3 linked regions of the Arabidopsis thaliana genome follow. The protein of the gene in region 1 interacts with the protein of each later gene in a pairwise test. Each region holds a gene or a part of one and is shown on either strand. Other genes may lie near its edges. The genes, in order: AT2G38090, AT1G68160 and AT1G10820.

Region 1 (9,980 bases):
TCCTACAAAATAGTTAGTTTATCTTCAGTTTTCTGTATATTGAATAACATTATCAATAAAACCAGCCTTGTTGGTTATGACCAATATAACAGAGTATGATAAAGAATTATCTTAGCCGGTCTCTTATATTTTATTATAGAATCTATAAGCACGTCTATGCCTCCATTAGCCTTCTGTTGAATGTCCGGGTCAATTTTGATCAGTACCTTCAAATCTTGCTTTCATTAGATTTATCTGTAGAGCTGAAGGTGTTCTGTTTGTTGATAGCATTGTTAGTCATTGATTTTGTTTCCACATGAGAAGTAATATATGGCGTCTTTTCTCCGAGTCATCGGTGAGTTGAGATGTGGTTTCTGCTTTTTGATCTTGTTTGATAGTTCAACATTTTCACCACGATGCCACATTGGTCAATACTTGTAATCACTAGGGTTTTGTTTTATTGGTTTCTTGATCATCATGTTTTTTCTTTTCTTATATGTCAGTTCTGTCATGGGCTTTTACCGTTGCGTGGTTTACCCTCTGGATGTTGATGCTATACTTGACGAACGAGATGAAGCTAAAGTTCACAGACGCAGCTGCGATTGTAAATGTGTTTGCTGGTGTATCAGCTATTGGTCATCTTGGCATGCAATTTCTTGTTGATGCATTTATTGGTCACTTTTGGATGCTCTGTCTCTCTACTTTAGCATTCAGTTTCGTAAGACCTTGACCTCCTCTTTAACTTTGGTTATGTAGTATGGTTCTAACTTATATTCTTTGTCTAGAATTGAAATTTACGCTCTCTTCTGTTCAGGGTTTCGGGTTCTTGGCAATATCAGCGTCACCAATACTTTCAGGCAATGGACAAAAGGGCCTGTTCTACGTAGCGCTAACGGTTATATCCGTTGGTATATTTGGACGGTCTATCTCTTTGGGAGTATTTACAGAAGACCAACTAGAAGACGGTAGGAACAAGGGAAACCCCGCCAAGCTCGTTAGCTTTGTCATTGGAAATGTGGGGAATTTTGTGTTCTTGTTACTTGCTGCTATTGCAATGCCTCAGATAAGTCCGTGGTTTGTTAGGTTCACGATCCCCTCGGGCTGTGAGGTATTAGCAATGCTGATTTTTATTTCCGGTGCGTGTTCATACAAACGGGTTAAACCAGGTGGGAGCCCTTTGACAACGGTTTTCCGGGTCTTTATGGCTTCTGCTTCCAAAATGTCTTGTGCATACTCGAACAACTCAAGCCAGCTCTATGAAAAAGCTGAGTGTGATCAAGATATTAAGCCCCACACAAGCAGCTTAAGGTTCAATAAAAATTCACTTCATTAAGAGTTGTTAACCCACACTACTGTATAACACTCGTAACTCTTGATTTTTTCAAACACAGGTATCTAGATAGAGCTGCAATGATACTCCAAACAGAGTCTTTGGAACAACAGAGGAAAAACAGATGGAAGCTTTGTCGGGTGACAGAAGTGGAGCAAACGAAAAGCGTCATACGCACGGTTCCTTTGTTTGCGACATCTCTCATTTCGGGGATTGTCTTCTCTCTTGGTAATACTTTCTTCCTTGAACAAGCAAACCATATGGACTCCAAGTTCGGATCATGGAACCTTCCTCTCCCACTCCTCTTACTCTTTAGTGAAGCTGCAAGGCTAGGATCCCGAGAACTATGTGTCATGGCTGCAAAACGCCATGCCATTGACTTCCCTGAATCACCTAAACAAACCAAAACGCCTTATGGTATACCAGTCTCCATCATCCTATCGATATTTTGCTGCTCCATCGCTGCACATGTTGAGTCTAGGAGGCTCAAAGTAGTTAGTACTCAAGGTTTACTACATGAAACTGTCCCCATGAGTGTATTCTGGCTGCTCCCACAGTACATTCTACTCGGTTCAATCACAGGAATCTACGAAAACAGCTTTGCGCTTTACCTAGAAGAAACGGTGCCTGAAGAGTTGAGCCAATACATGGTTCTATTAAACGTGGGAGTGTGCGGGGTCGGGATCATGAGCAACATTGCTCTTGTTAGTTTGGTGGGCAGTGTAAGCGGAGGCAAATGGTTTCAAGACACAATAAACAAGAGCCGGGTGGATAACTATTATTGGGTTATAACAGTGTTTTGCATGTTCAATCTCTTGTTATATTTCATTGTAACCTATAGGTACACAGTGTGTAACAAGAAAGATGGTGCAACACAAGAAAATGATCGAAGGATAATCGCTTCTGTGTAGTACTTGTGTTGTGTGCCCAATGTTTCAATTATACATGTATGAGGTTAGATGAGGTTATTGCGTTTGTGGCTTCGGAAAAACATAGAAGAGAAATTAAAAAGGAATTCTCTCAATGTTTTTGACCAAATCCTCAAATCATCTTCAGGCAACTAAACCATGTTTGCACACACATTAATAAACCAAAGACTAAATGGGACTGGGACATCAGCTCACTTTAAAACTGAACCATTAAAACCTTCAATGACTTTTAGAAACAAATAAAGTAAGTTATGACTTAAATTGGAGGACAAGATTTAGAAAAACAAATCGAATTTTATGGAAAATAAAGAATTTAGTCCAAAATAGATTTACAAGAATAATTGGGAATCAACGGTCTTCCTTCAAATTCAAATTTGCAATTACATGGAGATACTTCTCGTATTACTCACAGTCACAAGGCATCAAAATGGAACCCACCGAACATCAAGTTAAAGAACAAATTCACTAAAATTTTGAAAGTTTCCTAAATCTTAAAAAAAGTAACTGCAAACTATTATTCTAGTTAAATAATCAGAAAGTCATTTTAAAGCCTGATACCTCTAAATACCATCATTATCTTTGCCTATGTTCGAACCCCTTTGATGAGTGTTAAAATGTTGCTCTTATGAAAATCACATTATTATTTTAGTATCTATCCAAAGGTTGGAATAAAAAGTTATTTTCTTCTGAATCTAATTGTACTGTGTATGGTTGGAAAGAAGATACAATACAAAAGATGAACAAAAAAAAAAAAAAAAAAAAAATGTTAATTTCCCAAGATGAGGATTTAAAATTGCCAACTTGGTTGAGGAACAAAAGCATATCAATCATTGTGGCTTTTTATTTATGGTCTTTCTTTAGACTCTCTGTAGATTCTCATTCTCTTGTCAACTTCGAACTTCAGACAGTCCTATTAAATAAAACAGTTGGGAAAATAAAAGTAATTGAAAACTAAATTCTAATTACATAAGAAAAAGGGTTTAGATGTATGCTAAGTGAGAAAGCGTCATTATCACCACAAAGCCAGGTTTCGATTACACATTTGTCACCACAACAAGTTAAATAATCTTTGATTAGTGGAAAACCCACTTGGCACTTTACATACTTTTGGCTGCTTATTCATAAATAGATAATTCATTCTATACCAGAACAACCAATTTAAAACTGATTTTTACTTTTATTTTTTGTAATTAACATTTTACATTTAGACATCCTACATATTGTTAGCCTCAATTTTGACACTGAAACTTGAGAGAGTTCAACCATTATTAAAACTAAAATTTGGCACACAATGAGATAAAAAGAGAAAATGGAAAGTGGCAAAATATCTAACAAAGATTTAAAATCATAATTTATTAATTATAAATATCCACCAACAAGGAAAAATACTGTAATGAAAGCCTATATGACAGACACAGCATAGATTAATAAGCAATTTGAGCTCAAAAGAGTTCCAAATCACAAAAATAAATCACTCAAGTAATTAAAATAACAAAACCTAATTAATTTGCTGAAAACTCGTTGAATCAACCACGGAAAAAGATGGTAAACAAAACAACAAATAAGTATCTCGTAATAAAAAAATAGCAGCTAATTTTGTTTTTTGTATATGCACGCCGATTAAGAGAAAAAACAAAAATTATTAATGATTATATAACTCGTAACTTCTCCGAGATCTTCACCTTGTGAGCTACATTTGGAGATACGCATTGTACGATTCGAATTGCGATGCGTTCAGAAAACTCTGCTCCTGAAGTTTTGCCATGTAGGGCGTCGAAGACATTCCAAGTAGCGTTTCTGAAAACGCGTTTTGATTATAAAACGCAGCTGCTGTTTCATCGTATAGTGTTTGACCTTCCCACTCCGATGTCTCCCGCTGGTTTCCTCCTACGGAAGGTGGCGAGCAAGGTGCGTTTGCGGTTGCGTTATCCGCGGCTGCAGCGTCAGGAGAGTCGGGGATGTTGACGGTTGTGATATCATGGATGCTTGAACGGCGTTTGTCTTTGCCACCATTGACTTGCCGTATGAAATACTTTTGAGCGTGACTTGCGACTTGCGTTGGCGTTCTTGTGGTCACAAAGTTACGAGCTATGTTTCTCCAATCTCCTTTTCCATATTTCTTCAAACCCATCAGAAATTGTCTGCACATTCATTAACCATACCAAAACCTAAATAAACCAAATCGACTCTTAACACATATACAAACAACTAAACTAGATTTTATAGCCAAAATAAAAACTCATGTTTATACTAATGTTCCATGTCCCAGTACAATGTCCATGCGTGCAAAACAAATAACCGCACCAAGACACCAATGAAACCCATTCCACACATCAAGAGCCTAGAAGAAACAAATTTTATCTGCTCTGTATATAGTTTACTAATAGATTTATTAACTCGATACATAAAAAAAGGGTAAATAATTTTTTTGAGATTAACATAAACATGTAAAGTATCTACTCTACAAAATAATGTGTGTGTGTCTGCCTCTCTGTCTAACCCATACGTAGGTCATATAGACACGCACTAAAGATACAATTGTTTTGGTGGATGACTGTATAGTTTTAATTTTATAAATTACATACGTATATATATTTATACGATATGCGTATCTTTATACGTATACATAAACACGTTTCCAAGAAAAAAGACGTACGTATTTTTATAAAAGAAAGTGTAAAGGGGTCCAAATCTAGAGAAGAAAAGCATTGACGTTAACGTAGAGAGATGATTTAAGTTTACCTGTGTTCTTCTTCTGTCCATGGAACACCTTTCTTCCTCTCATGCTCCGCCGTTCGTGCGGCGGATCCTCTCTTTCCTCCGGCGGCGGAAAAGTAGTAACCGTTCATGTTAAACCCATTGTTACCGCTTGCTCCGTCGTAGCCACCCCAATCAAGTGTGAATGAATCAGAGGCGTAACCAGGGATTGGTATAAGACCAGCTTCGATGTCGCTAACGTCTTCCTCAAGCTCTCTGTATTGTTTGATCACATCTCCGACTGTTTTACCGGGAAGCATGGCAGCGACTCTGGACCATCTGTCGGGAGTATCTTTGTCGTAAAAGGCTAAAGCGTTTTCGAATTTCTTGTTTTCTTCAGCTGTCCATTTGGTTCCTCTGTTTTCTTGAAACAACCAGTTTGATGTCTCTAGATATGTTGCTGGTGACATAACTTCGATTCCTCTGTTCATGTTTTCAACGATTGTTGATCGAATCAAGAAAGAAAGAAAAAAACAGAGTTTTCGATAATGGTGGAGCTCAAACAGAGAGAGAGAGAGAGAGAGAGAGAGAGAGAAAAGTGGGAGATATTTGATCTGTCAAAATGGCATTTATTCAAATGGAATCTGAGAGAGAAAGAGAGATAAGCATCTAAAGCTTTGAAGAATCTAAAGAGGAGATCAAAAGAGAGCTGCTTTTTCCAGACTCTAAGGACAAAAGATAGATTCGATCTTTGAGTTTTGTTGTCTGAAACGATAAACCTCTCTTTAGTGGTCAGATCCGAATCCAGAGAAAATGAAAGCAAACAGAGAAGAGAAAACAGAGGATCTAGGATTTGGACGCTTTCTTGAAAACTGACAAGAAACCAAACAGAGAAATGGAGAAAACTCAGGTGGGTTTAGAGATTGAAGATGTTAAAGTGAACAAAATCCAATCTTTTTCTTCTTCTTCTTCTTTCTCCCAAAGGACCCAAACTCTCAAGTCGAAAAGGGAGAGAGAGATATAGAGGGAGAGAGGGGAGAGAGATGAATATGAAACAGGAATGATCTGAGAGTGAGAGGTGAGTTAAAAAGCTGTTGAGCTGTGATTGTCTTTCAGTATTTCCCAGACAAAAATTTCTGGGCTTTTCATTATTTTATTATTCATATTAAGATCTACGAGTTTTTTTAATTTCTTGATCACTTAAATCTACCAATTGGGCTTCCCTTCAAAATATACTAAACGTTATTGAAATTAAAATATATATATAAAGAAATCAGATAATGTAACAATTTTATGACTAAGGATAAATCAAACGGTAAAAATGTGTATAAATGAGAATGGCAACAGTGCTTAATTAACAAAATCTATGGTGTTAAATTATGTTACAAAACGTTTGTGAATAACGACACAAATAAAATACGATGCTATAGAAAACAATGTTGGTGTTGATGTATAAATTATACAATTTTCTGATCTAATTTTCTTAGGTAAGTATTCCACATCAACATAGTACAAGTACTATTAGTATAATTCAATTCTAATTAAAAAGGTTTCATTTCAAAGTGAGATTAGTTAAATATCAAAAACATTCTTTTTTATGTATTTCTTTTTCTTTTCGTTGTACCTTTTTAATTCAATCAACCAATAAACACTCGTCCTTGTATAGTCTATGATAGACCATCACATAATTCAGGAAAAGACAAGTGTCGTCTTTGAATAGGCAAGTCACACATGTTCAGATCTCATTTGTTCTCAAGGAACTTTGTTTTTTTTTAATACATTTTTATGCTTTCGAGGACCGTTGATTGATTTTTTTTCTATTAGTATTTATTTTTGTTTTATCGATGAAATTAATAATATGACTCAACTAATAGGAGAGGGGTTTTGCGGCTAAACGTTGCCTAATGATAGGCCAAAGACGTTTAGAGATTAACCAATCGCAGACTCAGACAAGACACACAATCGAGGAGCATCTCCCATTGGCTAACAAGATTTAAGGCGGTTATAAGGGTACTTCGGTAATTTGCTATTGGTGTTGACATTTAACCTTTTGGGCACATGAGTTGTTTGTTTGTATATCGAGATACTTTCTCTTTTTTTCCTAAGGGGAAATGATTTTGTGACAATGAAACGTTTAATACTATATAAATTTGGATCATAATCTCGATAACAAAAAGCATTGGAGAATGTGGTTAAACTAGCATGCTAGGAAACATAAAGGGGCATATCCTATCACAAACTATACTTATCTACGAAAATATGAATTACAAAATAAATAAATAAAATGAACTACAAAATTTAGTACAATGCCAAAATACGTATAAACTACAAACCCTAACAAAATTTTACAAAAATAGTTGTACTCATCTAAATCAATATTGATCTAAAAGGCGTTAATTTTTTGCATTGACATGTGACAGAATAAATTGCACAAGAAATGGCAATAAATATTTTTAGGCGTACTATTTGCTAAACCGACATTAAAGAACTGTCAAACAAATATAATTTTAATATGCAATGATGATTCCTTGCTTAGCTTCTTGGTTCAACGGCCACAGCAAAAAATTCAACATCAAGGAAGTAATTAAATAGTATAGTAAATGTTTAGTGATCATAATTGTGTGTCTAAGATAACAAGGTCGTAATAATGGAGTTTAGCGAGAGAGAGGTCGAACCTTAATTATTAATTAACGTATGAAATATAATCATGATGATATTCTAACAACATTTTTTTTTTGTTGTGTCTGCACATTCTAACAATATCTAAATTCCAAAAACTGGTACTAAGGTTTATTATGAGTTATGACCATAAGAATTTACGTAGCATATATATAAGATGATTTTCCGAAATTTCAAGAATAATTTCTTTATAGGAAATCTTTAGAGTTAAATCAGTTTTTTGTTTTCTTTTTGTAACTCGACTAATTTAATTTATGTATAGTTTACTACTATAAGATTAATGTATATTCGAAACACATTATGAACGGCAATCACACAAAACGTAAATTAAATACATACTGAAATGCTAATTAATCCTTCAGATGTTCCTCATAGACTCGTATCTTGGGACCACGCTTACTTTTCTTTGTAAATTACACTAATGGATTTCTTAAAACAAATAAACTGTCATGATTTATTTATAAATGGGTTAGGTAGCTTAAGTGATCACGCCATAACAGACACAATAATTCTTGAAAGTGTTAAGAATTTTTATTGTTATTAATATATCGCAGTTGAGAATTCACCATGTTGATCTAATATGAGACGAGATGAGTTTTTTCCTCTGTTTCCATGTTTGTAGCTGTATATATATATTGTGTAGCTAGAAACATGGTATACTACAGACTGAAATATTAGTCTGATTTGGATCAGTTCAAGATTTACCCTTTTATAATAAAATATATATTTTGGTTACAAAACTAAGAAATATAATAAAAACGAATGTCAAATTCAAAATAAATGTGGTTTACACAGTGCCCTCAACAAAATGGGTGGCAGAAAATAGTTGAATAATTATAAGACATTGTTTTTATGTATTTCGAAGATTATCAGATGCAAAATAAAAACTTCAATAAAGTATGTTACCAATGCTAAAATTTTAGTAAAATTTATCAAAAGTTCACAATGGATGAACAAATTTAAATTTAGATTGTATATATAAATTTTTGGAATATTTTCTATAGTAAAACCATTAGAAATTTTAGACTTTTCTAATTATAGAAATATTTCGTCTCAAAATATTTTATGCATAAAATTTCAAGATGAAAATATATATTTCTACCAAATTCGTCTATAGTTATTTTAGAACGTGCCATAATTTCAATCTAAAAAAAATAAAAATAAATCAGTCTTTTTGAGTATGGTGAATTGGATCCAGCTTCATTAAAGTTTGAACTTGAATTGATACATAGTCTAGTAGTTTAATGCATCACCACTTAAATTATCATCTAAACTTCAATCCACATATTATCAATTTTTGACATGATAAAAATCTTCAAATTACCATTCCGTGCGATCCTAATTCAATGGACGACGTTAAGTAGCAAAGAGCCTTCACAGTATATCGAATTTTAATTAAAAAAAGGCGCCAGATGTTTTTACATGTAAATTTATATAAAAAAACAATAATATAATATGATGCTCTGTGCAACTATAATTCTTTAAATATCAGAGTTGTTTAAATAAAATGTCAGAGTTGTTTGTCCACCACTCACACCCAACACACGATTATTTTTCTACTAAATACTAATAGGGTCAATAAAATATTAAGTAAAGTTATTAGACGTTTTTTTAATTGGAGTGGTGCAAGACAATGACTGGTTTTGTTATGAATATTATTAATATCGTGGAGTTTCCCCAAAGGGAAAGCATCTTCTATTTCCGAATGAGGATACTTTTTTCTCCTCAATAATTTATTTTGTTATTAATAGATACATGTAAGTAAATATACATAATGACTATATTTCTTTATTTATCTTAAATACAGATCTCAGACCTTTTTAGGTTTCTTTTCTATATTTTGGTGTTACACAATACTTTTGCTAATGGTTTAGCTACAAAGCCTAAAATCATCTTCTTGCCACCACCACCTATGTAATATTTACATAATGATATTTTACTTCATTATTTATTGTTGTTGGTTAATTAAAGTTTAGTCTATTGCTCCTTACTACTGTAGATCTTATGAAACCAAAGAAAAAAAAAAGATTTTAGGCAAGAAAATTCATACTATTTGTTTCTTTGGTCGCCAAAAGAATTCTCTATTTCCAAATCAATATACTATATATGTGGCCAATAAGGAAATTTTATTCATTCGATGTTTTATGAATTTTCTATTACACTGATATTCTATTTTAGAAAAATTAGATAATACAATTGATAATAGTTAAAAATACATTTTATATTTAATAAACTATGGGAACTATGGGACGAAACAAACAAATGGGTAACATTTATCAAGTTGAAATTTGGCATGTTAAGCCTTTATCAACCTAGACACAATTCTCTGTAATTAACGACGTCAACTTATGATCCATACTCTCATG
Region 2 (10,851 bases), on another chromosome or scaffold:
CCAAAAACCTTAGCCAGCCCTACGCTCGATCCAAGCCGTACACTCTCCATCCTATGAGACCCATAAAAGTTTATTATATTTTGTTTAATGGTATAAACATATATTAAAAGGGGTTAACTAAATTGTGATTCGTTGATTAGACTTGCCTAAGAAGTGCAGCGAAGATGAAAGTGACCAATGGAGTGAGAACGCCAGCAGCAGAGGTGAATGTTGCTGACGTTAGAGCTAGACCCGTAATGGTTAGGATACTTGGTATCACCACACTGTTCAATTATCACCACATTAAAGAAGTCTTATAATCCCAATATATATATATTCTTCAACAATTTTACATTTTACTAATGATAATCAATATTATCAACTAGTATTTTCAGCCAAAACGTAGTCTTCTATGTTTTTTGGTACATGTTGGTTTTTATTGTCAAACCACTAGTTGGTAATATTGAGTAGAATGGTTAAAACTACTAAGTACTACCCTGTTTGAATGTTAGATAATAATATTGAATACGTTCAAATAATCTTCTAGAGTTCTCTATGTTTTGGTACATTTTAAGTTTTTCAGACTAAGTATACGTTTTTTAACTTTAAAGTAAATTTAAGTAAAATTAAACTCTAGAAGATTAATTACGTTTTATAAAACCAGTGTGCTCTGGATTGTGGTTTTGTGGTGAGGAGATTTTGGTAAGAACTAAATTCAACTCATGCTACCTAAGCTAAAATATCCGACGACTTACCTAGCCAGTGGCTAATATGTTTGAAAACCAATAGGAAATCGAATTTGAACATATATAGGAATATATAAATTTTATAGTCTTGCATTAAACTTCTGTAACACTCAAACCATGTATATAGATTATTTTTTTCAATTTCGTATATTATAAAATGGTTTATTTTGAGAAATTTATCACAAAAAAGTTAACATATATATAACCTTAGGACACAAGAGGACATCCAAAAAAACGAAAAATGATTTTTCGTTTTGTGTGTGTGTGTGTGTGTGTGTGTGTGTGACTATTACGTACCCGAGTAACCCTGAGAGTAATGCTAGTAACATCAGCCTGCATGTAAACTCTGGCCTCTTCTTCCTAATCGATCACATGAAGTTAATTAATATCAAAGCATACAAACACAACCATATTATGTGAAAGAAAAACAACCTTTGAAAGATGAAGCATATAGGAATCATGAAAAGTGTAGCAAACAAGAGACGATAGGCCACGAGTACACTTGGGTTCATACCATCTTCCATTGCTAGCTTGAAAAATATGTTTAACCCTGCCGTAGCTATTTGAACCACCACCATTGCCGTTATATCTTTCATTTCTCTCCACATTTCACATATTCTCTCCATAATTTCTTATTCCTTTCTAGTTCCTTAATTACCTCACACTCATTTATTTATCGATTTATATATAGGGAGAGACAGAGAGAGAGAAAGAGAGAGATAGGCTAGCTAAAATGAGTTAAGGAATCCTGACTTATCCTGAGCCTCTGAGCTTTATTTATCACACCAATACTTCTCTTTTACTAGCTGTTTTCCACTAAATTTCAGTACCATAAATGAGTTATGCGATATAAGTAGATGCTAAATTCAAATTCAGGAATATTATTATAGATATGTCATATATAGAGTCTAATGAAAAGTGCTTCTAAATTTTTTAATACTCTAAAACACTAAACTTATCCAAAACACTTTAGAAATCTACTCTCTGGTCACAAACGGGTGGTGACAGATAATAGATTCTCAAACATTTCGTATAATAAGGTTTTAAACTTTTAATAGATATATAAGTTTCATGAAAAAAAAAAAAAGTTTCATGAATATTAACCAATGATGGTAGTTGCATTTATTTATTTTTGGCTAGTGCATTCACATAACATAACGAATGCATTTTAAGAATAATGTGATAAGAACATTCTAAATTTCCTGACCAAAAAAATAAATTTAAGAACTTCTTGAAATAAATTACTAGACCTCCACGGATATGAACTGTTTTGCACTCCACTTTACGTAGATAGTGTACGTGTAAGTGGGTGATTTTGTTACAAAACTAGTTTAAAGATAGAGAAAAAAAAAGTATAAATTGTCCAAAAAGTAGTTCACCGTTCACGTTTATATACAAATCGGAATGCATAAGAACAAAAAGAGAATCCAGCAACGTGTTCAGATGCTGTTGACACGTGCGATGCATGCTTTCTGCTTGTAGCCCATCAATAGTTTTTATTTTTCCAAAATACGAAGTGTTTCGAATTGTTTAGTGTCTGTCGCAAGTAGTTTCATGTAGGCATGCATGGTTTATGAAAATATGCTTCACCTTGGCCGTTGATTTTTTATCTAGCTTTAAGGAATCTCATCTTTATTTCTATTCACGAACATAGTTCTAGTAACGTACGTCAGTTGTGTGTTATAACTCAGTATACACCGTTACTTTAAAGTTATACAGATGAATTATCTCTGACAATTTTACACTTTTGAGATTTTCTTTAGTGGAACAAACTTTAATTATATATAGCTTCTAATTTTATTTTATTTTCTAATTTCTAAACATATTACGAAAAATTAATATGAGAGAGTGGTTTCAGCAAAATTAGCTAGGACTTACTTACATGATGAGGACTATATATATGAGAAAAAAACTGTGAATTAAGGTTGGGATTAAAGTCTTAAAGAAACCAAAAGCAGGGATAATGTAGAAATTTGGAGATGCTAAGGCCACAAGTTAATAGTTGAGACTTGATAGATATGATAACTTATTTGTTTTGTTTTTTGTTTTTTTTGTAGTTAATAACATTGTAAATCAGTAAAACCAAAATCTAGTTCCTGCCAACAATTTTGAAATTAAAATGTATGGATCACCTTAATGAGCGAAAGAGTGCATCAAGTCCAACAACAAAGTCTTTCTCTTCTTCATAACATAATGTTCGGAGTTAAATTAACTTGAATGAAACAAATCTTTAATTAATTATATTGATTTGCATTATTAGGAAACTGTTCAGATTAGCCTACCAAAAAAAAGGAAACTGTATTACTGTTAGTGGAGCAAGTATAATGTGCAGTTTATTGGGCTCATAGCATTTTAGAGCCCAAATTTATTCGTTTCTTAAGCAAAATCTTAAATGCGTATAAAATTAGTCTTTTACAAATATAGCATGTGGCCCAATATAAACGTCAGGCCTGATAATATGTTTAAGTGTCCATGACTTTTAACATGTTTCATTTGATAAGCATTTTTTACCAGAAGCTTATGTTAATTCACTTATACGGGTTGGGGATAATGAAAATTGAATTTGGACTAATAGAGCATACATCAATCGAGGAAAATTGCAACGACAAAGAAACGACGGTACATCAATTTTACCTTAGTAAAATCTTGATAAGATTTGAAGTGTGAGTTAATAACAAATTTTAAAAAACCTAACTTATCTAGTGAAAAAAAATGAAAATTATAAAAGCTGATGGCATTTAGATAGTAAACAGAAATCAAAATTGTTAAGTGATAGTAGTCTTGTTGCAAATGATAAGTCCACTGAGAACATGACATCGAGGATCGAGTCTCGCTCCTTATAAATGTTGACAAAAAAAAACAGAAATCAAAACATCATTTTGGTGTATGAATATATTTCTTGATCTATTTAGTGTATCAATAATTTCTTAAATATCAAAAAAAAAAAAAAAAACTCTTCATCGATTTTTATATGCTTGCTTCTGTTATTGGTTCATAACTATGAGTCCAATTATTTTCATAGTCGCATATAATTGTAAAAGTATTGTACGAACGGATCAGTTTATCCCACAATTATTGAGATGCTAAGATTAATTTTTGTATTAACATAAAGAAAAAATATGAATCAAATTCATATATCTTGAGATTTTGACAACGAGGATGTCACACATTGACATTATTAGAAAACAAAAAAAAAAAAAAAAAATCTTGTCTACTTGATAAAACTTTTTGGAATAAAAAAAGTGAGGTAGAAGAAAGAAAGGCATCAAATGCTTTATTATTGGGATTCGCACTATTTACTAAATTCCACGATCTGCCAACCATCTCTTTTATTTATTTACCTATTTTCTTATTTTTTTCTACTAATTTTGGTAGTAAAAAAAAAAAAATGAATATGTTCTTAGTCATATCTCTCCCTTCAATTTAGGAAGAGAATCTTTTCTAAAATTCCCCATTCCTACTTACTTTTATAGTCAAAATCCATTTTTTTCCATTTCAACTAATTGTGTTGGAAAATAATTAATATTAGATTTCAATTAAGTTTATCATCAATATGGTGAAAAGTCATAAAGTAATGTATTAATAATTTTTTCATTATTTGTCTAAAAATCCTTCATTGGCTTATAGCTTACAAGGCTGCTCTGTCTAATATACAGAGGACAAGAGAAAAAAAAAAAAAGAAAAAAAAAATTGTGATTTGGTAAACAAAATCAAATTTTGGTTTCTTTGTGAGAACTTAACTTAGGGTTTATAAAGTTCCAAGCTTTATCCATGGCGTAAGATGATTCACCTTCTCAAAGTTTGATCCTTTTTTCATATCTGATCAAAGGAGAGTTTTGGGTTTGATTTCTAATTGTTAAAGTTTTAATCTTTTTATTTGGGTTTGTGTTCGATTATGTGGATGGCTACTCAATCAAATTCTGGGTTCGATTCTTTGAGTTCTATGATGAGTCGTCACGCTATTAATTTCCAATCTAACACTTCTTCGGAGATGACTCCAATGAGTCCGTACTTGGGGATGAATATGAATATGATCAATGTTGGTTCTCCTGGTTTTCTTCAAACCGGGAATTCTTCGAATGGTTCCGATTCGGGTTCTGGTCTAAAGCTTGATACTTCCATGGTTAGTGAATGGTCAAATGAAGAACAATACATATTGGATGCTGGTCTTGAAAAGTGAGTCTTTCTTGTTTTGTGATTTCTTAACATTAATGAGGATATGAAGATAGTTTTTTGTTCTGTGGAATTTGATATGATCTGATTCTGTGTTTTTTGTAGATATAAGGATATGCCAAGTATTGATATGTATATTCAAATTGGAAACACTTTACCTGATAAAAGTATTCGAGATATTGCTTTGCGGTGTAGGTGGCTGAGGGTAAGTATCTCTCTTCACATATCTGCCTTGTTCTGACGGTTTTTGTAGCTTTCTTGTGACCATTTTTCAGTCATGTAGTTCTACGCTTATGCCATGAATGATATATGTATAGCAAAGAAAAATGATACACAGGGAACAGTTTCTACATGTTCTGATTTCATACATAGCTTCTTAAACTACAGTACACAGAATGAAATGGTTTTGCCTTAGGATGGACTTTTTGGTCTTATTGATGCCTGAGTTGTATCAATATTGAGTTCTTGAGATGAGAATAGTGAGCATAACAGTCTTTGAGTTTTGAACAAAATCTTCTCTTCTCTTATATACTGAATCATTTCTTACTTTTACCTTTTGTCTTCGTCTGTTGATGTACTGACTTTGTTTTGCATAGAGAAAGAGAAGAAAATCAGAAGAATTAAACTGTGGAAGAAGAGCAAGTTCTAGCAAGGTATATTGGAAATTCTTGCCATTTGTTCAATTTTGATGAGTGACTTTTTTGTAAGTTCGATTGAAAGATGATGCTAGGATTGAGATTGAATATCTTTTGATTAATTTAGGTTTTTGTACTAAAAGATTTATATTTCTTCAGGGCAAGCAGGTGGAATCGTCGTCTAAGTCAAGCATTCCCTCTGTTTTGCCTCATAACATGGCTTCATATCCTTTCTCAGGGCCATCTACAAGCACCAGTAAACAAATTACGTCTGAAGGTTAACATCTATCTTTATCTGAGAGATTTCCACCTGAATTTGCTAACTCCAGGTCTTTTTTTTCATTGACATGCACACATTAACATCATATTTTGTTTTCAAAAGGAGGCAATACGTTTTGATGTATGTATTATGGTGCAAATGTCGTTTAAGTATGTATTTTGTTATATAAATAAGTTCATAGGGGATTAGTGTATTTCAGCTAGACTTTTAGCTTCTTGGGACGATGCTAACATAACTACGTCTCTAAAGTAGTTTAGTCTTGGAAGAAGCCTTTACCCATAGATACTGAAATTGGTTTCTTAACTGCATTGTCCTTCTCTAGAGGTGCATTCTTGAGATTATTTATTTCATACATCTAGTAAAGGAGTATAATGACTATTGTATGTTTAAATGGTGAAATTCTATTTAAGTCCGCTCTCTGATCCTATTACCTTGTAAAGATGATCCTTTAAGCTCTCTTTCATATGAAGTTTTGTTGAAGTCACAATAATCTTTAGTCTCTTTTCTTTTCTTACTGATTCTTTCGTGGTTCTGTTTCAGATTTAAGTAGCTATGCAACAAATCTTATAGAACAGAATGTACGAGCTTTTAGTCAAATTAGAGCTAATCTCTCCTCATATAAGGTAAGTTCTAGATTACCTTGTTTAAAGGAATGCAAATGTGTTCTTGCTAAAACCGCTCCGTAATGATAATTGCAAACAGGCAGGGGATAACCTAGATCTCTTTCGTCAGGCAAGGAACAACCTTATCACCATCCAAAATGAGTAAGTTGATACTTTAAACATTTTGTGTATAAGTTTTGTGGAGCTTAGTGACCAGACGTTGTCTTGATTTGGCAGGATAAATAATATGCCTGGATTGATGAACAAGATGCCACCATTGCCAGTCACAATCAATGATGATCTCTCGGTGAGTAATACTACTTTAGTAAGTTAATAGGCTGCTCACTTTTGCATTAACAGTCCATTGTTTTAGATATCAAAATGTCCACATCACCCATTTGCTTGTTTTACCTCAGACACTACCGTAGTTCAAACCCCATATCTCTGGTTCAAGTGCTCAAAATATAGAATTATTGTGCTTCTAACTAGCTGAGTATCTTAAGACCAGTTTTTCAATGTTTTGGTTTGTAGAAATGTCTATCAAGAGCAAATAGAGCAGAAGAATAATAGCTTCCCAATATCAATGACTTTGGTTTCCTCGATTTGTACCAGGTGATGATGCCATTCAATACGATGCAAAGTGGCGGCTTCCATAGGAAGTAGAAGTCTTAGGAAATCATCTGGTTTCCCTTAGTTACCTGTAAATTATCCTAAAGAAGCTGGAGGAGGTAAAAAAAAGCTCATCAAATGTTGGGAAGTTTGTAGAAATGTGATTCTTTCGTAACACCAACGATCTTTATTGCTGCGCGGGATGTTGAAACAAGACATAATATAACGAATGTAGGGGTTCTTGGTCCTGGCTCCTAACTAAAAAACCTTCTTAACAAGTTCTATTAGATAAACTTAGTTCAATTAGTGTCTTGGAGAATTTCTAAGCGATCGATGTGTATAAAAAAAGATTCTATTGAAGAGCGTGTTGAGATTTGCATCTTTAATCTTTTGATCTTTTGGTGTGTTGTTTTGGTACCCATTTTTTCTTAGCATTAATCAATCTTTATTTTTCATAAGCCAACATTGAACGAAATAAAACAATCCGAAACCTTCGATGTTGTATATACGAAACATAAATGTTAGAAACGAGAACAAGAAGAAAGGCAAAGAATCCATAATGACAAATAATGGGACCAAAGAACAAGCATAGAGATATAGGAAACTCTACATCATCCAATTTAATCGGTTTTGAGAAGATGAAACGTGATCTCCTCTAGATGGACCATCAAAGTTCAAGCTTCTTATGGTTCGATTGTTGTAGCTGCTATTTTGTGGGTATGTAATCAAAGAAGAGTCTATGGCTTGAGGAGTTTGGTAATAGGAAGGATGAGAGAGGTTGTCACTGGAATCGAGTAACAAGAATGGAGAAGTAGAGGCAGTGGAAGCCATGGCTGTTGCTCCGACCGGAAGTGGATGGTTATGTGTTCCTTCGTAGGTTGTTATCAGTATTGACATGTCTTCTAAACACCTTTGCACCTTCACAATGTAACAAATCTCATTATCAACTATATATATATACATAGTTTCATTCCATTCAAATGTGGTTATGACATGCTATGAATTCTACATTGGACATAAAGTAATATATAAAGTACATAGACGAATCAACTCATTACCAATTCGTTTTGAGTTGGAAGATCTATAAAATACTACGTTATCAGTAAATTGATCAAAATGGTTCCCTAACATAAAATCTTATCTTTGAATAAATAAATAGTAAGACCCCGGAATTTGAGGGTGTGTGCAGTTACCTGTTTTCTAACGGGACATCCTGGAGCCACGGTGCATCGGTAATAAGCTCGAGGACATGGATTCCCTTTCGCGGTTTTCTGACCGTACTTCCTCCATTGGCATCCATCATTCATCTACACACACACACATCTTTCTTATTAAATGATCATGTTACCAATCTCCAAACTGAGTCCAAGATATGATATAAAGAAACTCACTGTTGCGGTCTCACATCTCGCCCTCACGGACACCCTGGCCTTTCTATTACCTTGAGAAGATGAAATGATACGTGGCATATTCATATCTAAGCTGCTACTATTGTATCTTTGGTGATGAGACTGAACAGCTTCTTTGCTCTCTTCTTGTTTCTGTTTTTTCTCTAGAGAAAGTGAAAGCCCTATTTCTCTTTCCATTGACGGAGATCTCTCAGCTCCTCTTTTCCGAGCCTTACTTGTTATATCCACACATCGTTTGCCTTGTACTCCAAGGAACATTTCAAGATCCTAGGTTAAAACATCAATCAAGTTTCATATTAATTATCACCAGTCACCACTATGTATAACGTGTATGAAGAAATAATTTCTCACCATCTTCTTGGTTTTATCGATAACCGGGAATTTCATCTCAAGATGACGATAATCTTCAAGAGTCTGCTCGACAAGCTTCCTCAACCTAGTATTCTCTTCTTTCACACTTTCCATCTGGATCTGTAGCTGCAAGAGCTGATCGCCATCCATAGATGTTAACATATATTCGCACATAAAATGTTTTGATGTATGTATATATACGCATGTAGGTACCTCTTCACGTTCGTTTTCTTCTTCTCGGGTTCTTAAACCTAAAGAAGAAGAATCATCTTCGTCTTCTTTCACCATTTGTTCATCTTCATCACCACTAGCATCATGTTCTTCGTCTTCTTTGTTCTCACGGCTATGTTTCGATCCTTCTATCTCTTTCTTTTTCTCCTCGGCCTCGAGCTTAAGAGAAAGATCGATGCCCATTAATGGAGATGCAAATCGAACCTCTATTCTTTTTTGTCTTTTAGCTTTGGATTTTGAAGTGCTAAAGTCAAATCCCATTTTCTGATCAGAATATCGTTTACTATTTGTATTATTCACTCTAGTACGCATCTAAAGCTAGCTTTGACTTTGTTTAAATAATTAGTTTTATCTTTATGAAGAAACTAATCCATGTTACTTAATAAAGAGCTTAGTTTTGGCCTTTGAAGCAATTAAACCGGAGTTACTATGGAATCATGACTTTGGTTACCATCCTAGTAGTCATAAAAAAGTGTATACATATATTCCTCCCCTTCTCTTATATAGTTTGTTTATTAAGTGACAATAAGATAATTAGATCCGGTTTCTTTGAAAATTGTATTACATTGTTTAGTTTTGTAAATCCAGTTTATGGCCGGCATTAGGGTCTGCGAAATTTCCCATCACATTCACATGGATGGTACCATGTGAAATACAGAAGACCATCGAACGTGTAGATATTTTTTTTAAACTTGTCACTGATGTGTTTATAGCTAGATGAATTCATCTCTTCGAATAAGGTAGAGTTATAAAGATTGAATACTGAATAAAGAAAAAGATGGGTGAGATCAAACGCACCATTAAACTTTTTATTTACTCAATTCAACATCATAGATAGGTCTATAAATCAAAACATTCAAAAATTCATAATGAGTAAGAATATTCTAGAATATGGCGCTGTCTATATATTTTGAATTTTCCTATTAAAGTTGTTTTGAAAATTTCAATAGATATCTTCTTAAAGTCAAATTGGTGTTATGAGATCATAAATATATATGAGAAAGAAAAAAGAAAGAATTAACTGATTCTATATTTAGATTGTATCAAATAATATAAGTTTTATTGTTAGTTTGGTTGAACAATCTCACAAAATTTCTTGATCTCAAGGATTCATCTTTAAGAGAAGGATAACTAATTTCATTTATCCCATTAGTACTAGGCTACTAGCTAACCTAAAATATTCTTTCTATGATTTCGATGTACATACAGGTTATGTTGATAGAATATGTGTGACATATGTGAAGTCCGGATTTTGGATTCTTTTAAGCGTTATGTGATTTATTTAAGCAATAAACTATGGTTTACAAACTTGACATGTACACAAAAATAAAAGAAACTTGACATGTCTCTTTTTTTCTTTTTTCTTTTAGTTAGTGTGCTTTTAAGAAGATGTCTATATGTGATATCTTATTTATTTTTATTATAATCACTAACGTGAAATTCAAATTAGCAATTAATAATTCGTACCAAAAATACCGAGAACAAGATACTTGCCTCGGGATCGGATCTAAAAATAGTCAACTAGAAGACTTTTAATTTTTATTATTTTCATACTAACTGTCCTTTTATTAACTTAATTTCTTTCTTGCCAAAAACTTTATCAACAAAATTATCAGCTCTGTACTAATATTATTACCGAGACAACCGTTTGAAATTGTCTATCTATTAAGAGTATTTACATTAGTAGATCTAATCCTATATAAAATCGTTATCTTAAATCGAATTAGCATACAATATAAGGTTACTTGCAAATCATGTAAGATTATCCACATATACTTTTCGTACAGTACTTTTTTTTTATAAGTATCCATTTTATTCAGAGTTGATTACGGATAC
Region 3 (11,806 bases), on another chromosome or scaffold:
TTCTTCCTGTCCCTCCTGACCATGAAATAAGCAAACACTCGTTAAGCTTACTGCGATCGTCTTTTGTTAAGCTGTTTGCTAAAAGATCGAAGCTGAAACTCACCACATCAGGTTTCGGGAAGCCAACTTCTTTTCAGGTTTTGAAATTTCCTGGAGGAATAACTGTAGATCCACTGGAACCTGCACCTGTCTCTGGAGTAGCACTGGTTCTGTTTAGTGTTACTATCAAAACTTCGATATCAACAGTACAAGATAGGCTGGATCTGCTAAATGGTCTATTTGAGCATATGTTGTCTTTGGAGCCATATGAGAGTGTTCATTTCCAACTCACAAATAAACAAGGATCTACCATATCACCACCGCTAACTTTTCAGGTTTATGTTGCTTTCACCATGAGAAAATATCTTCATCAGAGATTGAACCATTTTACTCAGATCATTCAAACATCCCGTGCTAAAAATCTCGGTCTAGACGAGGCAGTTTTTGGTGAAGTCAAGGATATAACTTTCTCAACATACCTGGATGGCAAAGTTCCTGATTCTGATTTGGAATTGGCACCAGCGCCAACTCCTTGCTTATCTTCTCTGTGTTGAGCCTTACTATGAAGCTTCTTCTTACCAAACTTGGCAAAGCAGTTTCTCTTTACCTATTTTAGGCACCTAATAATTCTTTTGGCAAGGACGTATTATTAATGTTTCTTGTCTAATATATTAGAGTAGGTTTTGGCAGGATCTAGTTAGCTTTAGAACTAATTGTCTCATCGAGTTTGTATGAAACAAAGTTCTTTATTCTAATGAGATGCAGCTTGAGTTTACTAGTTACTTCTTTGATTTAGTTGCTTAAAGTAATCTATTAATACAACAGAAAATTTCAGATTTTGCATATTGAGTTTATATAGCCTCCCTATGGTTTCACAAATGGAATATCACCGTTTTCTTTGAATCGATTAAGCTCTTCCTCTAGCATCTTAATTACTTCATCTTTCTCTGCAAGAGTCTCCAGCAATGTTCTATTCTCTTTACTAAGAGCTTGAAACTGGCTGATGATTCCATCTATCTGCACTTCAATGGCTTCATCACTAAGTTCAAATGCAGTCTCCACAACCCGCAGAACCCGCCACAAGCTCACCACCACGATGAACCCGGTTCCTTTCTTCTCAAGAAGAACCTGGAGAATCAGAGCTACAATCGCAAGAGTACCATCCATTACACATCCAGGTTGTTTGAAGAATGACTTCCCCATAGCAACAACCAGAGCCATGGATTTAACGGCGAGAATGCTCAGAATCACGGTTCCTCCCCAACGAAACCATTCATTTTCGGTTTCGGTTTTCTTGACTGATGTGCAGGATAGCAGAGAAGAAGATAATTCGAGGGACGTTAAGATGATGTCAAGAGAGAGCAAGAAGATGGTGAAAAGGTGAACTTGGTATGACTCTAGGAAGTTTGATAAAGTGATTCTCCATTGTTGGTTGATAGAGATGAGTTCTTCTTGTTGTTGTTTTGGGGAGAAGTTGCAGAGTTGCCTCCATTTCCGTCGTCTGCACCAACTCTTGATTAGGTTTTGGATCGAGAATTCGACATTATCAACTGTTCCGGTGTTGATGATGTTCATCAAAAGATGAAAAGTTTTGGAAGTTGTTGATAGATGATGATATGAGCTTTAAAGGAAGGCAACCATTTTAAACAGTTTTAGGAAATTAATTATTTTTGGAAAGATGGCTTGAAAGGCAAGTAAGGTTGAGATATGATACAAGCTTTATTTATTTCTTAAGTGAAGAAACACACTTGCCAAATCTGAAAGACAATCCTATTAACACAATTTGAAGATAAAAATTCAAACTACAAATGACCAACAGATTTTCAATTAAAAGTTACATATATCAAAAATACTGCAAATAACGTAAAGTTTATTACAAGACTATTCCGTCTTTGACGCCATGAATGCAGAGAGAATTCATTATTATTAGTTCAACGTGGACAACTTTATTTTGAGCCTTTTTTCTCAAGACTTCCATTTCGTTGTTGCATTGACTATGATAGCAAATTAGATCTCTCTTTTACTGATTGCAAAAGTGTGAGAATTTTTTTAAAAACTTGGAGAGATTTGAATCCATGGCAGCTGCAAGTGGAGTGCGTAGGATCAAGCTAGGAAGCCAAGGTCTTGAAGTGTCAGCGCAAGGTCTTGGTTGTATGGGACTTTCCATCTTCGATGGAACTACCAAGGTTGAGACAGATCTCATTGCTCTCATTCACCATGCCATTAACTCCGGCATCACACTCCTCGACACCTCCGACATTTACGGTCCTGAGACCAACGAGTTGCTCCTTGGTCAGGTTTGAATTCGAGATATCCTATGTTTGTTCATACACTATTGAGTTGCCTAGGATTTGAAATTGCTTGGCTATGTGAATGTAATCAGGCTTTGAAAGATGGGATGAGGGAGAAGGTGGAATTGGCAACCAAATTTGGGCTTCTCTTGAAAGATCAGAAATTGGGTTACAGGGGAGATCCAGCCTATGTGAGAGCTGCCTGTGAAGCAAGCTTAAGGCGTTTAGGAGTTAGCTGCATAGATCTTTATTACCAGCATAGGATCGATACCACTGTCCCCATTGAAGTCACTGTAAGCTTTTTCTTGGCAATCTTTCTTCTTTCTTGAATCCTTCAGCTGATTGTTATGGTGTTGTCTTGTCCTGCCATTTCAAAGATTGGAGAACTGAAGAAGCTAGTTGAAGAGGGTAAGATAAAGTACATTGGTTTGTCTGAAGCCTGTGCCTCGACTATAAGAAGAGCCCATGCTGTTCACCCGCTAACCGCTGTGCAGTTGGAATGGTCTTTATGGTCGAGAGACGTTGAAGAAGACATCATTCCTACTTGCAGGTGCAGAATCTTCCGCAAACATCCCTCTTCCTTGATATAATTTTATATCCTCCTCTTGTAATGTTCATTCTTTGCATTACTTTCTCCAGGGAGCTCGGGATTGGAATTGTAGCTTACAGTCCTCTGGGACTGGGGTTCTTTGCTGCAGGACCAAAATTCATTGAGAGTATGGACAATGGTGACTACAGAAAGGCAAGTCCATCACTATATGAATGTTCACCATCTCTTTTAAGTACATTCAAGAAAAGAGCCGAGTATTAAGCACATTCACCATCTCTTAATTTCAGGGTTTACCGAGATTCCAGCAAGAGAACTTAGACCACAACAAGATTCTCTATGAGAAGGTCAATGCAATGGCAGAGAAGAAAAGCTGTACTCCTGCACAATTAGCTTTGGCATGGGTTCATCACCAAGGAAATGATGTCTGCCCAATCCCAGGAACCTCTAAGATCAAAAACCTTAATCAGAACATAGGAGCTTTATCTGTGAAACTCAGTATCGAAGAGATGGCCGAGCTTGACGCCATGGGACATCCCGATTCTGTGAAAGGGGAAAGGTCAGCCACCTATATAGTTACTTACAAGAATTCTGAAACTCCACCACTGTCTTCTTGGACTTCATAAACCATCTGTAATAGTTTTACTCTGCCATCGTGCTGAGCTATGTTCTGAACTACTTTTCATCATCGTCTTTAAGCTACATTATTGTTTGTCTGTTTCTGTCTGAAATTAATGAAACTTTTTAAAAGTAAATCTCTAATAAGGACTGAAGATTCTGCAAACATTATAACAATGAATTGAGACAGGTGACAATGCGTATATACAATGATTTGTGTCACATCACGACTTAAACCATGAAGATAACGTATACGTACCTAGAGGATGATAAATTATTACCTTAACTAGAACTTGTGTTACACATAACCGGCCTCTGAATACCACTCAAAAGAACTGTCACTATACTAATTTAAGCCTCAACAAGAAGATTACAGCAAAAGACTTTTGAGTTCTATCAACCTATGCCGTCTTCTACGAATTGCAAGGAATCCTATGATCGAATTACGGCCAAAGCATTTTGTTCGTATCAAAGAGTTTTACCTTGGCTTTAGAAGGAGTCTAATTCATTCTTCTCTGTCAAATTACCCGAGGGCAAAAGGATTTTACCAATACTGATTGTTGAATCTCATGTTCTGAAGCGGTGTCTGCAGTTGATAAACATTGCCATGTCGTCCACGGAAATACTGCCACGTACCAGGCTCTTGTACTATTTACTTTAGTATCGGTCAAAATCCGGATTTCCCCATCAACTTCTTGGCTCTTGCTTCAGGTGGATGCTTGGTGGAATGTTGTACGATATTGGCTGTGAGACAGGGAAACAATCCACTAAACATCAGGCATGGCCAGCTTCCAAGAGAAATCCTCAAGAGATCAATAAAACTAAAAAACATTAATGGTTTCTATGTTCATATTTATATCTTAATATGTTTCACTTTTTGGGTCAAGAAGCTCTAATTATTTGAGGTCACATGGCGAACTTTTCAGGATTAGCTATTTTGACATATGTAGCAAAATATATTACCTGTGTTGTACTCGACAATAGATTGCTTGCAAGATCATCATTAATTGAAACCGGTAGAGCCGGCATCCGACTCATGATTCCAGGCATCTCCTTCATGCTGCAGAAGAAACTAAGAATTTAGCAATTGAAGGTTTAAATTATAGAAAGGAAGACAGATGAGATGTCTCAATTGTGAAAATTGAATTAGTATTAGATCCACATACTCAGTCAAAATGGCGCTGATATTGTTTCTTGCCTGATGAAAGAGACTGATGTTATCCTGCAGCTGTATGCACTAAGTTAGCATATCTATGTGCGAATTACTTTGCAAAAGGAAACAGTATCAAATTATTTTCTAAAGAATAACTGAGCATGTAGGAAATCTGGTATACAATGTTTGATCAAACTTGTATGACAGTTTCAGTCTGTCAATCTTCTCGCACAACTAGCCACAAAGGATTGCAAGTATAAATTACCTTGCACGCAGAGAGGTTGTAAGAAATCTGACTAAAAGCTTGAGCATTTTGCTGTAGAAGATCCATTACTGCGTCACTTAAACCTGCGAATAGTTCAACAAAAGTACCTAGCTGACAATTTGATTTTGTTTATTTTTAAGACCACACAACCCAGAAGAAGAGCAAAGAATTAAAAGAGCACTAGACCTTCGAAAGGCGTGCGTGTACTGTGGCACATATTGTTCAGGACATATAAAGCATTTTGTTGTGGCACATTGGATAGCATGTTCAGTTCTGGGGATGTATCCACCACCTTACCATGAAGAAGCATGGTCTTTAGAACCAAGTTTAAAAGCATATTGATCTACAGAAGTTCATAAGACCCAGGAAGGAGAATGTGCATGAAATGAAACACACACACTAACCCTTTATCAAATGTCATAACAATCACTAGATTACCTTATAATTATCATTATAAACATGCCCACAAGCTCAGATACTCATAAGTAATATATGCTAATACTTCTGCAGAGTTGGATCAACATCATTTGCTGCTCGTCAGTCATTGAAAAATCGATCACAAACTTTATTGATTGTCCAGTCATGCAGACAGTCCTTTTTCTTAGTCAGGAACTAACAAAATATGTTCTCATGAAAAGTCCACCATACAAGCAATTTAGCCAATTACAGTTTCTTCGTTGAAAAATACCATCGTTAGCTCAGACTTGCATGAATAAAAGTCACATCTGTGGGAAAATCCCGTTTAACCCAAAACGTAAATGAGGCACCTACCTCCATCGACTTATTAACTGGTAAATACGACACAAGAAAGGTTGAGGTGGGCAAGCATACCTTCCTAGTGCTAATGTTCTTAGCGGCATTATTATCCTCTCGTTTCCTCCGTTTTCTCTGTGAAAATAGATACCCGACTTAGCCAAGAGAACTTTAAAGACCATGATAGATATCTGGTGGCAAACAAGCACTAAATTAAAAGAAAACGGAGTAATTTTGCAGCTTTATGTTTGATTACATCATATATCTGATTGAAAACTCAAGTCAATTATGAAAGGACAGAGACATGAAGGAGATGGAAATATGATGATAATAAAGCATTGTACATTTGTACTTCATTAATTCATTTCATTATTATGCAAACAATTAACATTATGATGTATGTAAACTCATGCTGCGAGCAATATAATCATTTTAAAAAAAAAACCATAAAAGTATAGGGATCAGTCTCAGCCATCACCCGTAAAAGTAAAATCTATGTGAGGATAACTACAGAAATAATTAACAAAAAGCGTTAGGCTTATTTCCTTTTCCAATAATTCCTCCACAATCATGGACTCGAAAGCTAATATAAAGACTAATCTAGCGTCAGCAATACTTGTCATTTTCTCTTTTTGCTCGTCCTTTACCAGTGTTTAGACAATCTTTACGACATGTCAATGACTTTTCATCAATAAAACCGCTAGCTTTTTTTGTAGGACTTTATCTTTATCACAAAGCACACACGCAAGATTGCATCATCATGCTGATTCCCTCATATTTAGCATATGCTTTTAACAGTGACAGAAATATCCTTCAACAAAAATCCTTCCATAACAGCCACATACCACTTGAAAAGGAATGCTAGAGACAACTAAGTAATTCCCTAGCAAAAGAAATATCCTTGAGAGACGTCTAGAGTGGTAATTTTTCTTGTCATCTAAGCAAAAGCACATAAACAACAGGAAGTATGCACATAGCTCAAGGAAGCTTAACCAACTTACCGTCATCCATCTACACCTCAATGCTACATCCCTTACAGTTTTATCCGGTAGAGTTGCAGCGATCTTTACATACTTTGAAATTTTGGGTTCATCTTTTAATCTACAAACGGAAAAAAAATAAAGATGTCATAAATGCAAACAAATAGAACAAACAAGCTACAGACTCTAGAAAACCAAAGTAACCAGGAACAACCTCAGCTAGAAAATCGATAACTTAACCCGAACTTACTAATGGTCCCAGTCCCAGAAAACAATGTCATGGAACACACAAAGGCGATACTTTTATAATCAGAAGGAACAAAGGAACATACTTTAATAGTCCACCATTGAGAATATAATGTTCCCACTACTACTTTTCTGATAAAACAATTCCCGATTTCAACTTTTATGTATTGTTATTGTAAAAATATAAGCATAGTTTGAAAAGCTACGAATGAACAAAGACACATTTAGGATATTAAAAAAATAAGAAATGGAAATATCCAAAGAATTAAGCAGAAACGAAGATACCTACTTTGCAAGGCCGTTCTCCAAAACATACTGTTCCTCAACGGACCAATCCATAACCAAAGCAGCTTCTTGTTTGACTCCTGCAGCCACTGAACCCGAAGCATCCACAGCTGGGTGAAAACCGGAGGAAGCGTTAATCGCATTAACACCGTAATTGGTCGGGAATACAAGACCGGTGGTGCTAGTACTTGGCAAGCAGTGATTATCCATTGGAATCATTCGTGGAGATTTGATAATTGAAGCTGATTTGAGCTACGATGATGCCCCCAAAGATATCAAATTTAGGGTTTTAGCAAATCCAGAAACAAATAAATGAAACAAAACACAGCTGAAAGAATAAAAAGATGAGAAACCCACCTCAGATTTGGCATCAACAAAGAAGATAGAGTAAAACTTTAATCAGGGGCAGTGATGGTAATTAGGGATGTGACCGACAAGAGAGAACGCAAGCAAACACCTCCGAGCAGTAGAACTGAAGATTATAAAGGATGTGATGTGAGAAGAAGATCGATCAGAGAGTGGCAGCTAATTGCGAACTCCAATGGGAGAAAATCGAGAGAGAGAGAGAGAGAAAGAATGAAAGAGAGAGTGTGTTTGTTTAGTAGTAATTGGCTGTGTTGTTTGTTTCTTGCAGAACCTCTTTGTTGTATTCATACTCCTTTGCTTTCTTTTCTTTTGGCCTCTTTTTTTTTTTTTTTTTTTTTTTTTGCCTCCAATTCCTTTTTTTCCATATTCTTCTTGGTAATAAAATTTTTATAACTAGCGAATTAAAATTGTATTGTTAATTTTTAATTTTAGTTAACAATTAATCACTTGCCTTTAAGTTTATCTTTAGAGTTTAGAGATATCAAGGCATCAATATGTAGATATCAATCTAGATTTGGATGGAGATCTTGGCATATTATTAATATTAGTTAAAATTTAGATTCATTTTCCGATTGTAACTAAACATCGAAAAAAGAAAAATTTACTTCTATTAGTATAGTGGTAGGCGTCAGAGTGACCCATGACATCTGAGTGGGAATTTATATACAAAATAGTTTTACCTAAATATTCATTTAGCAGTACTATTAAACATTCCTAGTTAATACTAATCTAAACCCACTTGTTGGATCGAACTCACACATAGTGGTTACAGAGTGTTGAGCCAAAATAATCGAGAAATGAAGAAGAGTCAAGTATCACAAACAATATGGCTTTTTGTATACATTTGTTCCTTAACAAGTCTTTATGAACACTGCAGGAAACAAACAAACATAAATGACATATAATTTACCAATGAAGCCTAAAGCATGACATATAATTTACCAATGAAGCCTAAAGCTTGCACCTTGCATTAGCGGGTGAGCAAAATATGCCCCAACCGTTAACGCAGTGATTGCAAGATATGGCAACCTGACAAATTCTTTGTAGTAATCCTCAGGTAAAACTTGCCGTCCTTCGAAAATGGCAGCAAATGGAATCACACTTGTTCTCTTCTTGATGCTTTCAAAATCCTCTCCATATCTTTTTGCCAATCTCCTGTCTCCATTCCACGCCCCAAACAAATGGTGTGCAATCAAACCGAGAGAAGCTGATGCAGCTACTGTGTTTCCGATCCAGAGAGTATGTGCTAAACACCAAACGATTTGTCCAACCATCTGGAGAAGATCAGAGGAGAGAGGTGCAACAATCAAGTCTCATTAACAAAGCCAGTATAATGAAGAGAGAATAGAACAAACCAAAACTGAAGCTAAAATGCCTATCTTTCTATATATTATCAAGTTTTTCCAAACACATGATGAAGCAATTGGATAAGAATTTTAAGATCAAAAGCAATATCAAGTAAAGTAATCAAGCATTGATGTAATAAACATAGAAGGATGAGGAGATTTGATTGTGCTGATGTAATGGGTGTATTTAAGTCAATGGCCAATACCTGCCCATAATTGATTCAATGATTGGGGGTCTCATTAACACAGCCACTAATAAACCTTGGCTCATAAAAATCCAATCTTTCTGTATTTTTGAAACACAAAAATGAAGGAAATTGTCTTCATGTTTAGGCACATTAGGGAAATGTTCAAAACCTGAGGATGTCGAGTGATTCTCATGATGCCGGTCTCCCAGAGATGCATCTTCGGTTTGTCAACAGCTGCTACCTCCAGAAGATTGAAGGTTGAAGGATAGAGAAAGAAGAAGGATACAAAATTAGCGACCCAAATAGCTTCATGGACTCCAGGAACACCCTGAAGCTGCCATAACTGTGACCCATCATATCTATGGTTTATAAAGTAAACCTGAAAGAAGAACAAGGCATTGCATAGACCATAAGAGACATCAAACAGGTATTTATACCATTGATCAGGAGAAAAATTGCAGAGTTAGAAGAGAGAGTACTCACAATGGTGCTCATAGCTAAAGGAAGAGAGATTCCAGCAAACAAAACACGAAATGCTCGTTCACCTATAAGTTTCTCTCCTATATCCCTTAGACTAGCTAAACCACTATGTACAATTGCAAATATAAGGATAAGCATTAACATAGCAACCTGCAAAAACAAGTGGTTTTTAACAATCAAATAACTGAAATTGAAACTGGTTCAGTTACTGTTAAATTGATCTATACCTCCGGTGAGCCGGAGATGTTAGAGACGGCGTCGATGAATGATTTTCCGAAACCGGTGGAATTATCGATCCAAACAACATTGAGGATAAAGAGAACAACTCCAAGGACAACACCGAAATAAACCCAGGAAACAAGCTTCTGTTTCCCTAATTCAAAAGCAGCAGAATCTTCACCGATCAGTAGAGTAGGACTACTCTCGGAGTCAGAGGCGATGGGTTGGTCTTCCCGGAGAGTGCTACGAACCAGAATTTTCCGAATTACCGGTGACGAAGAAGAAAGCAAGCTGGTCGAGTTTCCGAGGCGAGGATGAGCTGGGATACGGCGGATTAAGGTGAGGTTAGGGCGGCGAGGAGAAGGAGGGAGAAGAAGAAGCGAAGGTGGGCTCGAGAGAAGGAGATGATAAACCGCCATTGTTCTTGTTGGTAAACAATCTTTCGAAGAGGAAGTAATAAAAAGATGTCGTTTTTAAATTTCTTCAAACAATCGTCCGAAGAAGAAATAATAAACGTTGTCGTTCAAGGGATTTAGCGATGGAACTAACACTACAACTATAATAAAATCTCTATAAATTAGATTTTTTACTCTTTTGATTAGGATTTTGATAACTATGTATAATTTGTTGTAAGGCAATCAGAGGTCCAATACAAGATAAATCTTTCAAAACTTCAATAATTTTTCATTATGCATAAGAATAAAGATTTTTTTTGAAAAGCTTGTAAATTAAATTACTTCACAACAACAAAAATAAAAACAAAAACATCCACGAAAAACAAATATAGGATCCATTCTACCACCAAGTCTTTCACTTTCTGACTCAAAAAACAAAAACTTGGGTAGTCTTTGCAATCAGTTGTCGTGCAATGCTTTGGTCAGGTAAAGCCTGCTGAAGTTCTGGCCAGCCACTCTGCATAACAACAGGTCGACTCATTTTAAGTATCTTTCAAAGCTCCAAAAATGGTGAAACAATACTAAAGAGGAACATACCCATTGATTTGGCCACAGAAGTTTGAGACTTGGTTTGTGATGAGGAAACTCTCTAGCCTAGATGGTTCAGGGATCGCCTTAAAGATTGGGTTTGAAGGATCCTCTTCTGGTAAAGGCTCCTCTCCAGCTGATTTACGAGCCATGTTCTCCGTTCTATAAACCAAACACCTCTTTCATTAGTTGGAAGATCAAAAGGACAAGGAAAAGCTGAAGACAAATGTTACAAGGCATTCACAACTCTCGTAAGTAAAGTTGTATCACCTTCCAAGATAACGAGGTAGTGAAACTAATCAAACCTGAACTAGAACAAAAAGGTTCTGCAGAAAATATAAACCTACCTTCTCTTCTGGAGCCAGGCTTGCTGTTGTGCTTGCTGACGAGACAGGTTCCGGTAGTAATACTGGAACTGGAGAAATAAATTAAGATTTTGCGTTAAGATAGTTCGGACTTCTGATGATGAGAATTGAACAAGAGTGCAGAAGAAACCACACCTTTTGCTGTTCCATAGATAAATCATCCATGCATTTAATCAAAAACTCCATATTGTTCTCAAGGAAAGGAGTGGTTGATGAGTGTAGACGATCATAATCGCCCTAGAAAGGCGAAAATACAGAAGTATCAAGAGTCAAAATCTGCAATGCTGACAGCAAGCAAGGATCACTATCCAGATAGTAGTATTGTACCTGTGAGACAGGTGTATCAGTCTCCAGTTCGGTCATAAAGGCACTGACAAGGGCAGAATTTGAAACCTTGATCTGTCAAAGGAAAAGTAACAAACATTTAAACCACTTTTTTTGTCAGAGGAAAATATAATTAGGTAACAATTCCAACCTAGTGACTTGAAAAGATTAGCTGGTAAGAATTCAATATAGAAGAAAGCTAGAGACTTACAGGTATTTCCTCAAAAATATCCATCCAGGAGAAATTTTTCTCTCTCAACCTGAAAAAGATAGTGATTAAAACGTTACAACTATCATCCTAAGTGGCTCATAAAACCTAGATTTTCAATGGATCAAGATACATACTTCTCGCCAGTAA

Evidence for each region.
Region 2: the proteins of AT2G38090 (region 1) and AT1G68160 interact in a two-hybrid assay, tested with the Arabidopsis thaliana proteins (one study listed by BioGRID).
Region 3: the proteins of AT2G38090 (region 1) and AT1G10820 interact in a two-hybrid assay, tested with the Arabidopsis thaliana proteins (one study listed by BioGRID).

Annotation. Positions count from the first base shown.
Region 1 is NC_003071.7:15,940,724-15,950,703, reverse strand, and holds AT2G38090 (Duplicated homeodomain-like superfamily protein), read right to left. Parts: upstream 6,122-9,980; 5' UTR 5,427-6,121; coding exon 4,981-5,426; intron 4,380-4,980; coding exon 3,929-4,379; 3' UTR 3,608-3,928; downstream 1-3,607. Other genes in the region: AT2G38100 (proton-dependent oligopeptide transport (POT) family protein), read left to right, coding at 310-334, 483-697, 794-1,287, 1,371-2,220.
Region 2 is NC_003070.9:25,542,395-25,553,245, reverse strand, and holds AT1G68160 (ZZ-type zinc finger protein, putative (DUF3755)), read left to right. Parts: upstream 1-4,351; 5' UTR 4,352-4,620; coding exon 4,621-4,901; intron 4,902-5,003; coding exon 5,004-5,103; intron 5,104-5,494; coding exon 5,495-5,551; intron 5,552-5,692; coding exon 5,693-5,810; intron 5,811-6,353; coding exon 6,354-6,436; intron 6,437-6,515; coding exon 6,516-6,577; intron 6,578-6,652; coding exon 6,653-6,722; intron 6,723-7,027; coding exon 7,028-7,078; 3' UTR 7,079-7,488; downstream 7,489-10,851. Other genes in the region: UMAMIT23 (nodulin MtN21 /EamA-like transporter family protein), read right to left, coding at 1-51, 147-263, 1,023-1,085, 1,158-1,351; WRKY9 (WRKY DNA-binding protein 9), read right to left, coding at 7,631-7,942, 8,218-8,331, 8,416-8,700, 8,785-8,919, 8,998-9,276.
Region 3 is NC_003070.9:3,597,255-3,609,060, forward strand, and holds AT1G10820 (hypothetical protein (DUF3755)), read right to left. Parts: upstream 7,805-11,806; 5' UTR 7,535-7,804; intron 7,430-7,534; 5' UTR 7,397-7,429; coding exon 7,182-7,396; intron 6,768-7,181; coding exon 6,668-6,767; intron 5,802-6,667; coding exon 5,745-5,801; intron 5,206-5,744; coding exon 5,100-5,205; intron 4,997-5,099; coding exon 4,914-4,996; intron 4,724-4,913; coding exon 4,662-4,723; intron 4,556-4,661; coding exon 4,459-4,555; intron 4,240-4,458; coding exon 4,183-4,239; 3' UTR 3,656-4,182; downstream 1-3,655. Other genes in the region: AT1G10790 (hydroxyproline-rich glycoprotein family protein), read left to right, coding at 1-593; AT1G10800 (voltage-gated hydrogen channel-like protein), read right to left, coding at 904-1,614; AT1G10810 (NAD(P)-linked oxidoreductase superfamily protein), read left to right, coding at 2,115-2,336, 2,423-2,623, 2,708-2,880, 2,970-3,072, 3,168-3,503; Z-ISO (15-cis-zeta-carotene isomerase), read right to left, coding at 8,482-8,817, 9,247-9,456, 9,561-9,707, 9,785-10,195; TIF3H1 (translation initiation factor 3 subunit H1), read right to left, coding at 10,631-10,688, 10,769-10,921, 11,107-11,174, 11,260-11,361, 11,452-11,523, 11,660-11,708, 11,794-11,806.